Linked DNA regions of Callithrix jacchus. The main gene of each other region encodes a partner of the protein of the gene in region 3 in a complex. Links are inferred from orthologs where the notes say so. Each region holds a gene or a part of one and is shown on either strand. Other genes may lie near its edges.

Evidence for each region. The genes of interacting proteins can lie anywhere in the genome.
Region 1: the proteins of WDR20 (region 3) and USP46 are in contact, whole or in part, in a crystal structure (PDB 6JLQ), measured with the Homo sapiens proteins. The link is inferred for Callithrix jacchus from reciprocal best matches to the Homo sapiens genes WDR20 and USP46. Residues at the interface, in NP_653175.2 of Homo sapiens: Asn41, Ser42, Gly44, Arg151, Lys259, Tyr261, Phe262, Gly263, Glu282, Asp283, Asp284, Leu285, His301, Lys304, Ser305, Trp306, Gln374, Asp375, Thr376, Leu509, Arg516, Met517, His533, Glu534, Arg535; in NP_073743.2 of Homo sapiens: Asn205, Thr206, Ser207, Thr209, His210, Arg213, Arg273, Val275, Phe276, Pro277, Glu279, Leu280, Arg281, Phe283, Asp293, Met295, Gln338, Glu342, Tyr344, Thr347, Ser348.
Region 2: the proteins of WDR20 (region 3) and USP12 are in contact, whole or in part, in a crystal structure (PDB 5K1C), measured with the Homo sapiens proteins. The link is inferred for Callithrix jacchus from reciprocal best matches to the Homo sapiens genes WDR20 and USP12. Residues at the interface, in NP_653175.2 of Homo sapiens: Asn41, Ser42, Gly44, Ser45, Arg151, Ser170, Lys259, Ser260, Tyr261, Phe262, Gly263, Glu282, Asp283, Asp284, Leu285, His301, Lys304, Ser305, Trp306, Gln374, Asp375, Thr376, Arg516, Met517, His533, Glu534, Arg535; in NP_872294.2 of Homo sapiens: Glu207, Asn209, Thr210, Ser211, Thr213, His214, Arg217, Arg277, Val279, Phe280, Pro281, Leu282, Glu283, Leu284, Arg285, Phe287, Asp297, Met299, Gln342, Glu345, Tyr348, Thr351, Ser352.

The regions. Positions count from the first base shown.
Region 1 is NC_133504.1:144,020,243-144,023,742, forward strand, and holds part of USP46 (ubiquitin carboxyl-terminal hydrolase 46), read left to right. Parts: intron 1-894; coding exon 895-978; intron 979-3,444; coding exon 3,445-3,500. UniProt on the Homo sapiens protein: Deubiquitinating enzyme that plays a role in behavior, possibly by regulating GABA action. May act by mediating the deubiquitination of GAD1/GAD67.
Region 2 is NC_133506.1:146,261,097-146,264,596, reverse strand, and holds part of USP12 (ubiquitin carboxyl-terminal hydrolase 12), read left to right. Parts: intron 1-2,462; coding exon 2,463-2,692; intron 2,693-3,500. UniProt on the Homo sapiens protein: Deubiquitinating enzyme that plays various roles in the regulation of the immune response and inflammation.
Region 3 is NC_133509.1:137,130,158-137,133,657, reverse strand, and holds part of WDR20 (WD repeat-containing protein 20), read right to left. Parts: intron 2,929-3,500; coding exon of another isoform or gene 2,877-2,928; intron 1,459-2,876; coding exon 1,276-1,458; intron 553-1,275; coding exon of another isoform or gene 522-552; intron 1-521. UniProt on the Homo sapiens protein: Regulator of deubiquitinating complexes. Activates deubiquitinating activity of complexes containing USP12. Anchors at the base of the ubiquitin-contacting loop of USP12 and remotely modulates the catalytic center of the enzyme.

The sequences.
Region 1 (3,500 bases), on a different chromosome or scaffold from region 3:
CTCTATGAACAAGGAAATGTCACAGAATTTTTCAAAGCTGTCGGGTATTAGTCTGGATGTTCTTTTCAGCCTTTGAAGCAGTACCACAGAAATGTTAAGTAGAATATTGATGGCTGGAAAAGAATGAAAAACCATGACATTTAAAAAATGAAAATCATAAGTAGCAGAGTAGAACTCATGATAAGGCAGATACACATATGACAAACACAATGACTTTCGTTCTCCAAAGAAGGCAGGCGGAAGTTCTTATCCTCTGTCAGGGGAGTGGTGGGAGCAGGGGTTGGTAGGAGGTGGTCATCTGATTAATTCAGGATTTCCTTAGTTCAAGAAGAGGGCAGTTTTGTATATGGTTTGAATTTCATTATCTTCCTACTTTCATGCTCTTTGAAAATCTGGACTACCAGAGAAATGCTGTTTTTCATTAAGTACACAATAATGTCACCTTGCACGTTATGTGATTGACTTTTTTGGACCTAAGTTTTAGTGTTTATGATGAGCCTTTACTCTTGATAGTATTTTTCTATTACGATTTTAATTTGTAGCTTATAGGTATTCTTCGTTAAATCACGAGGTTTTTTTCTGAATGCAGTTGGAAACCCTAGTTTATATCTGCCTGTGTTCCATTAAATAAAGCTATATTTGAAAAATCTCTCATAGTAAATTTATGATTCAATGAAAAGAGAGTGTCTGTCAGCATAATGGCACCTAGACCTTTTATTTGTATTTATTATCCTGTAGTTTCTCCTGCCATTCTAATCTTAAGGAAGATTTTTTTCTGATTACTTCTCTAATTTTTACTTAAAAATGACCCTACAGGTTAATTGAGGGATTTAAAACATGGTATGCCAAGTAGATTTGAACATTTTTTAAAGATGAAAATACTTCCCTCTGCAGAGACTTCAGCAACACAGAAACACTGTGTAGTGAACAAAAATATTATTGTGAAACATGCTGCAGCAAACAGGAAGCCCAGAAAAGGTAGGTGAAGATTTAGCTCAGGGGTGGCTTTGTGTAGTGAGAGGGATCCAGACCGTGGGGCCCAGCAGGGTTGGCTTTGAATCTCAGCTTCCTGGGCTCATAGCCATGGAGCCTTGGGGAAGTCAGTTACCCTCCTCACCAGTGAAACTGAGACAAGAACGCTGACCTTGGTGAGGACAACTTGGAGAGCTGTCTGTCCGATTGTTTACTCATTTGTTCATTCATTCAGTCATTCAGCAAATACTTGTTGAGTGCTATCATGTGCCAGATACTTTTTTATGCTGGATAAACAAGTAGTAATAAAATATAATCACTATTCTCTTGGAATTAAGGGTAAATTATAGAAAGTACTTAGAATAGTATATAACAAATAGTAGACACCCAATATTATTTTCATTTGTATTGCGTAAACATTGGGACCTCTTTTTTAGAGACAGAGGTTTAAAATATATGTATCATTTCATAAGGACTTGTGAGGAAATTATTAACACATCAGTTGTAAGAATAGGTGATAAGAGGCGGGGCACAGTGACCTTTAATCCCAGCATACTTTGGGAAGCTAAGGCAGGCCAATCACTTGAGGTCAGGAGTTTGAGACCATTCTGGCCAACATGGTGAAACCCTATCTCTAATAAACAGACAAAAATTAGCCAGGTGTGGTGGCTTGCGCCTATAATCCCAGCTACTCGGAAGGCTGAGGCAGGAGAATCTCTTGAGCCTTGGAGGCGGAGGTTGTAGTGAGCTGAGATTGTGCCACTGCACTCCAGCCTGGGTGACAGAGTAAGACTCTGTCTCAAAAAAAGAAAAAAAAACAGGTGATAAGAAAGTTTGAAAGTTACTGCATTCTGAATTGAAATAAGACCCAATGTTCTCCATCTTTTTTGCATACCAGACAGTTACAGCTTTTGGAAAATCTGAAATAACCAGTTGTTCCCCATTAGTCCACCCTACAAGCCAGGAAAGTTGCCATTTCAGTCTCCCGCGAAGGCTTCCTGTGAGTTAAATCTGTCTTGGCAGTATTCAGGGCAGCTGACAGATGCTCAATACTGCTGTCTAAAACCCTCAAGGGTCTAGACCTGAGATTGAGATCATTTCTCTGCCCAGCCTTCCCAGGCCTTCACCCCAAACATGTACTACTTTCTTTGCTGCAAAACTTACACAAAGTTAGTCACATTGCAGGCAGGCGTCAAGGAGGTAGGCAGGTACCTTTTGTTAGTGAGGAAGGTCACTCACATCTGCCCCCCATCCTTACGACCTCAGTCTGTCTAAGACTGGCCTTGGGTCTTTCTTTGTGGCACTTAGACATTTTTGTTCAGCCCTGGAGGGTTTATACATTACAATGTCTTGTATTCCTATGAAATATGGGGTTCCTTGTAATTCTTATTTTTCTACTGATGTTTTACTTGCTTATTTTTATGACCAGGGCTTTTCCTTAATAGGTTCCTTAAAACTATTCTTTTAAAATTTGTCCTTTTCACATACTATGCATTAAAAATGTACACAAACTAAACAGCATGTACACTTAATTCAGTACATTCATGGAATGGGGGGCTGGAAGGAAACTGGAAGAACCTCTATTCTAGCAGTGTGCTCTGCATAAACTGTTACCTTTGTGACTTTTTACTGAGGAGTGTTAATGGTCACCTAGTAAAAAAAACTTTCTATGTTTATATATTTGGGAAATCCAACATCAAACAACAGAACAATCCCTTTACTGGAGGATTTCTCAAAATCTTCAGTCTGGTAATGTACACATAGGATCTTCAAAGCAGAAAGTAGCATCGCCCAAACTTACTTGGCCACAGAAACACCACATCTGTTAACATTTCCAGTGCTCTCATGAGCCCAGTTTGGGAAATATAGCCCTAAACCAACCCCTGCATTTTATAAATGAGGAACTAGAGCTAGAGGAAGGAAATGACTTGCCCAAAATCACAAGGGTCAGAATGATATTGAGCCTGGCACGCTTGGTGTCCTGATGCCCAAGAGTGTGTGTCAGAAGCATCCATCCCCCTGCCAGTCCTCAGAACCTATGAGTCCAGCCGTCGGTACTATCCACCTTGTCCTCTTCCCAGCCTCCTGTTCTCAAAATCTCTTAAACCTCCTTTCCATCATCTCAGGGAAGATTGTCCAAATATCATTCCTCTCTGGAAGGCACAGGGCAGTGATGGAGAATAATTGCATGGCCTATTTTTATTTGTGCGAAAATTCTGGAACATCACCTTTCACCAAACAGAGTCACACCATTGTACATTTCTCCTGCTGGAATGCTCTTGGGAGCCAGGGATATAGGATAAGTCAGCTCTACATAAGCCAGCATACTTTTATCCTTGCAAACTATTTGGTTGTTTGCTGGTTTGAAGTTTCATAGACCTCCCCTCCTGTTCTGTTTGTGCAGATGGCAGTGTATTCTCTTCACCTAACGGGTGTTGGGTACAACTGATTTTCTATTTCATGGTTTCTTAGGATGAGAGTAAAAAAGCTGCCCATGATCTTGGCCCTACATCTAAAGCGGTTCAAGT
Region 2 (3,500 bases), on a different chromosome or scaffold from region 3:
TTTTTTCTTTTCTTGTTTTGTAAAGGTTTTTTTAAAAAAATATTCTGTATATTAATCCTTTACATAGTCTAGATATTAGCACTGCAAATAATTCTCCTTATATGTCACTTGTCTCCATTTATGTTGACTTTGCCATACAGAAGTTCTTAATTTTTATGTAGTCAGTCTTTGATGTGTTCTGTATTCTGTTCAGTAGCAACAACAATAACGTAGGTTGAGCATCCCTAATTCAAAAATGTGAAACTTTTTGAGCTGCATGATGCCACATGAGTGGCTGAGTTAGTAATATCTTTACTTTCTGATAGTTCAGTGTACACAAATTTAGTTTCCTGTACTAAATATTTAAAAATAGAAAGTCACCTCCAGGCTACAAGGTGTATATGAAACAAATTTCATGTTTAGACTTGAGTCCCACCCCCGAAATACCTCGTTATGTGTATACTGATATTCCCAAATCTGAAGCAGTCTAAAGTCCCAAACAGTGCTGGTCCCAAGCATTTTGGATAAAGGATACTCAGCCTGTGGTAATACTGCCAATATTATTATTGTGGTTGCTGTTGAACAGAAAACAAAATCTATTGTTGTGTTCTGAGCACTTTTGATTTTCCTACCAGCCTTGTAAGGTGTAGGTACTGCTGTGAGCCCCAGTTTTCAGATGAGGAACTATGGTACAGGGAGATTGAATAAGTTGCCTATGCTGCATATACAGTTAGAGGTAGAACCATAGCACCAACCCAGACAGCCTTGCTCTAGCAGCTGTGCCCCCCCATAAATAGTTTCACTCGTTCCCTTTCTATTTTTACAATAACTTGCAAAGAAAGATGGTATTCGGAGGTTTTTTTTTTTTGAGATGGAGTTTTGGTCTTGTTGCACAGACTGGAGTGCAATGGTGCCATCTTGGCTCACTGCAACCTCCACCTCCCAGGTTCAAGCGATTCTCCTGTCTCAGTCTCCCAAGTAGCTAGGATTACAGGCATGCACCACCACGCCTGGTGAAATTTTTGTATTTAGCAGAGACAGGGTTTCACCATCATGGCCATGCTGGTCTCCAGCTCTTTACCTCAGGTGATCACCTGCCTCGGCTTCCCAAAGTTCTGGGATTACAGGCATGAGCCACTGCACCTGGCCTGTTTTTTTCTTCTTCCCGTGGTATTGGACATTTTCTCATGTTTCTTAGCTTTTTGATTATTTTCTTTTCTTATAAATTGTTGATTGCAAGCCCATTGCCCACTTTGTTTTTTTTTAATGTGAGATTTTCTATGTTATAATGTTAATAATTTTTAGGTTTCACTTTTTTTAAACTTTTAAAATATTTCTAATACACAGAACTTAATTTTATATCCGTATCTCTTCTAAAATGTAATTGTTAATTGCTTTTATCTTAGACTTTACCTGAATTTTTTTCTAAATTTGTATGCATTCATTTTTAAAATGTAAAATCTTTCTGGAATTTATCAAATGTACATTGAGGATCTAAAAATAAAATTTTCTAAAAAGGTTATTTTTCTCAATGCATTTTATTGAATAATTCATGTATGTTCTCATGTGTGGGCTCACACTGGCTATTACTTTGTGTGTGGCATGGTGGAATCAGGCTGCCCAGTTTGAATCCTGGGTCTGCCATTTCTTGGCAATGTGACTTTACCCTCTCTGGTCCCATCTCCATATTTAAAAATAAAGTTAACAACAATATTACGTGGTTGTTGAGGGTCAAATGAGATGCTGTCACTAAAGTCCTTACTGTTCTGTGGTAGAGTTGTACATTGCCAAGCACAGGGTAAAGCACTTGATGTTAGCACCACCAATATTTCCATTATATTTACTCATTTGTATAACTGCAGAGAACATTTCATGGAATTATAAAATCCGACATTTGGAAGGGACTTGAGATTATCTAGATTACATAGATAATTCTTGATAACATGATTCTTAACCTGACTCTACATCGGAGTTAGTTGGAGGAGCTTTGAAAAGCCCCACATTCTGGCCTCACCCCTTACTAACTAAATCAGAATCTTGGGGATGTATGGTTCAGTAATTTATTTTTGATGAACTTTGTGGTTCTTAAGCAGTTGGCTTGGCATTGGCAAATGGTTGTCCAACTTCTTTAAAGCTTGCTGTGTTGAAATATTGGTGGAACAATAGGTTAGATAAGTTAATAAGCAATTTCTTCTTAAATTCTCAGTATCTGTTATGCTGATGTCTGAGGATAGGTTTTGCCCTTTTCTCATGGATCAGTTAGTAGTATTTTTAAACAAGATTTTAATTAATTTTACATTTATTTTCCCCAAATTTAGATGAAAGTTTTAGATGTGAAAGTTATTTATTTTTTACACCTTACAAAAACATTGTGCATTTATATTTTAGTTCTGATCCAATACTATATATTTCTTTGATAAATTGGTTTTTCATGAAGTTGTATGTTCAGAAATAATTTTCTAATATTATGTTTTTATTTTTAGAGCTTTTTGACAACTACATGCAACAAGATGCTCATGAATTCTTAAATTACCTACTAAACACGATTGCTGATATTTTACAAGAAGAGAGAAAGCAGGAAAAACAAAATGGTCGCTTACCTAATGGTAATATTGATAATGAAAATAATAACAGCACACCAGACCCAACGTGGGTTCATGAGATTTTTCAGGGAACATTAACTAATGAAACCAGATGTCTTACTTGTGAAACTGTAAGTATATCATACAATTTTGTGTAGAAAAAAATTGAATCATTACATTAAAGGTTATTCTTTGTGGAAGAGAGGATGGAAGATGAACTTGAAAGTTGTAATTCTTAGATATAGGAGTTAAAGATATATTTTTTAGTTGAAAGGAATCTGTCTGTACTCTTAATGTAATATTGCTTATTGATAATGAATACCTGAGGTGATAGAAAGATACTTACTGTAGATTGAACTGTTTGATTTTCTTTCAGTTTAAGAGACCATAGAACCATGTTACGGAAATTATGTCTTAGGACATAATCTCATAGGATTATACAGATCAGGGAGGCGTATTAATTTGTTTTTCCTTTTTCTACGATTACCTTCAGTGTCCATTGTTGGAATAAAAACTAAAGCATATAGTGTACCCTCAACAAGGGGAAAATATTTCATTTGCTGGACACTTTGTAAGGATGAAGCTAGAAAATGTTTACATTCAGGCTGGAGTGCAGTGGCAAATCTCAGCTCACTGTAACCTTTGCTTCCTGGGCTCAAGCAGTCCTCCCATCTCAGCCTCATGAGTAGCAGGGACCACCAGCATGTGACACCATGCCCGGCTTATTTTTAAATTTTTATTTTTTTAGAGACAAGGGTCTTACTGTGTTGCTCAGCCTGGTCTTGAATGCCTGAGCTCAAGCAATCTTTCCACCTTGGCCTCTCAAACTGCTGGGATTACAGGTGTGAGCCATTGTGCCTGACCAGTAATATTCTTTATAGCATTTTCCCCATTCAGTACAGAATCCAGTTTAGAGGTGGACATTGCATTTAGTTGTTT
Region 3 (3,500 bases):
AATAATCATCTAGCTATTTAAGAATCACTTCCTCAGATGATATTAATAAAACATCTAGGTAAATAAAATATTTTCTGCTTAACACTTTTTAATGGAAATGGAATTAAATACTTTTCCTCTACAGTCTGTCAGTCCAGATGACAAGTTTTGTTCTCAGTCAACTCAGGACACTAGAAGAGGCGGCATGGCTCATGAGATCTCATCAAATCCGCTGGCAATGTCAAATAGGAGGACCTGGGTGGACACTGAATTTGCATGTAGCAAATACCATGACTGCCAAAGAATCCAAATTTTAACTGCCATTTGTCAAGTTGAATTTTCCTCCCCAAACAAAATTATTTCTTAAAAACCATACTCTATAATGTGTTTTTGTTCCAAGTTGATGATGTTAAAACCCTGCAACAATGCAAAAGCACTTATCCTTTCTAAGGGAGGGGTCCTACATAGCCCGACACTTGCACATTGGGGGTGAGGTCCCAAGTAGAGATTGGAACCCAGGGCTTCTAAATCAGCAAGCCTACCTTATCTTTTCCATTTGGGAGAAAAGTCATACTGAAACAGAGGAGGAAGAACATTAAATATGAAATAGCAATAGCTGAGGCTAAAAGATGCTCCAACAGCTTTTAAAAACATCATCTATTTGGCAATTTCTATATGCCACATTCAACAGTCCTGACATGTTCCTGGACAGACAGCTCAGATATCTCAAACTCTTGAAACCCCAGGACATACTACAACACTGGCAAAAGCCACGTCATGTGACCCAAATTTAAGTGCCAGGATTTCTAACTACGTCAAAGGTGGGTTTACAGCAACTATTTTTCAAGAGCAAGTGAAGTACTCCTTAGCCCAGTGCCTGTCAAACATACATACGGAAGCTTTAGCTACAATTTAAGCCACCTAAGGAAATGTTATCAAGTTCTTTGATCTGCATGAAATGTTCGGTGATGTGAAGCAAGTTTGGAATTCTACATTTTCCTAAATTATAAATACCAAGTTACAGTACTGTCCCTAACTCCACTGCAGAAGAGTTTTTAAACACCTGTTACAGACACCTGAGCATGCTCCATAAAAATGCACAAAACAGTTACCCCAAGGGAACAGGTAAGGTCAACAAATTAATCCACCACATTTAAACCTGGGTATACTAGGGAGGAGAGCTGAGCGAATAGAAAATGGGCTTAGCCTGAAGTGCAAAATAAGGCCCACTACCCTTGGTAAGAACGCACCAATTCCTAAAGGGATCCTTAACAGCTAAGACAGGGTGCTACTTACTTCCTCATTAAAAAGTTTGCTAGTTTCTTTTTTGATTGGGTCTATAAGCTGGACTTGGCCTGCAGAAAAGCCCACTAGGAGAGAGACACTTTCTGCTGTGGCTGTTAGGTGGTTGAAGTCATGACAAGTAGGCTGTGTTCCTTTGTATATCCTTTTATCTATTGGTTTACTCAAGTCAGCAGCCTGGAGGAGAAAGAGAAAAATACATATAGTAAACAGCACATTGAGATGAGAAATCTAAGTTATGCTATTTTATACTCCAATATGGTGTTTAATCTTAAAAATGAAGTTATTTAAAATATTTTTTCAGTTGTGACTTAACATTCATCTTACATTTTATGAAAGCACTTTCACATACCTTAGCCAACTAGATATCATCAGACTATCTATAATAAAACTGTTACTTTCACAACTTATTCTCCCTCAAATATATGTAACACTTCAGCAGGAAATATCCTTGAGATACTAAATTCAGTATTTTCAAAATGCGTTTCAATCAGTATCTAACAGAGGAGCCACATAAGAGCTCAGTTTCCAAGCGCGTCTTTAGCACCTAAATGTCCACTGGCCAGTCACCTGCAGCCCCGTGGCTCTCAAAGTATAGTCCCCAAACCAGAAGCAGCAGCAGCATGTGGAAACTTAGCAATGCGAAATCTCAAACCTTACTCCAGACTAAATGAATCAGAAACTATGGGAGGGAGTATGGGAGGGAGTAGGGCCAGCCAGCCGTAGTTTAAAGAGCCTTCCAGGTGATGCCGTTGCCTGCTCAAGTCTAAGAGCCGCTGCTGGAGCCCACGCTATACACTGGCTCCTCCTGGGTCAAGATCCCGCTTCTGAATTAGGTGTCAGGGAACACTCACTTATCGAGGTCATAATCAAGGTGCTTTACATGCATCATCTTTGACCCTAAAAATAATGCTCCAAAGTGGACAATATTTTACCCATTTTACAGATGAGAAAACAAGGTTAGGGAAGTTAATACCTTGACCAATTGTCACCATACCTACCTAGTAAGTGGCAGGACTGGATTTGGAACCAGTCTGTTTGACCATTAAGGGGATGGGGAAAGAGAGTCAAAAGCAAATGATTTCTCACTTGAGTGTAAAGAAATTTTTCAATGTGCCCTCCCTCCTTTCAAGAAGAATTCTTTTCTTCATGAGAAATGTTCTGTGTCATCCCAATATGCTGAGCTTTTATTGTGAAATATAAGGGAAACCCATCCCCTCCCACTCTTGTCTGAAAATCTCAGGTGGAGACAACTAACCCTGAAACAGAACTTGTCCCTCAAGACACCCAGCTCACCCTGCGTGGCCCTCTGGGGCTCCCGGCTCTAGTTCTCTACTGACCGCCCCCTCAGGTTCTGAAGATTTCTTTCTTCCAAAGAGGCCTGGGACACTGAACCAAGTAGTCTAATGTTTGACTTTGCAATAACAAATATAAATAATGAGTAGAAAAGAGGACCTCAAAATTACAGGCGTGTTTGAGCAAACTCAAAACCTTGTACATGTGGAAGTCTGGACCTGAGTGGTAACAAGTAGCTCTGGGAGCCCCAGGGCAAAGGAATGAGGGTACATGCCATGCGGACACTCTCCCAGCCTCACCTCAGTTAAAACGGAGATGAAAATCTCTGTTCTACCAACCTCATGGGATTGTCTGGAGGATGAAATAAGAGAATATATACATGAAAGAGCCTTGAAAAGTGTAATACAAAGCACCATACAAAACAAAAGGGAGTCCTGACTTTGGAGTGAGGAGAAAGGGGCCAGTGGAGGGTGGGCTGAAGGCAGCTCAGCCGAGTGCTGTGAGTGAGCAGCGGGGCCCAGGACGGTGGCCGTGGACAGGCTGTCTGAGAAAGGCAGCTTCTGGGCGGGCTCTGATGGCAGGGAGAGAGAATCCTGGCCTGACAGAACACCACACGCCAGTCATCTCAGAACAAGGAAGACAGCCCCCACCCCCCGCCAAAAAAAAAGCCACAAATATAAGATATGACTGGCAGCTAGAGAACAAAAATCCAATTTTGAAATATGAACAATTAAGTTACACATAATTACTATCAGCATATTCAACTCTTGAGACTTTTTCTTTTTTTTTTAGTTTGCTTAGGAAAAATAAAAAATCAGGCACGCCTGTGGTCCCAGTTATCCAGGAGGCTGAGGTGAGAAGACTGCTTGAGCCCAGGAGTTCAAGGTGACAGTTAACTGGGATTGCACCACTGCACTTCAGGC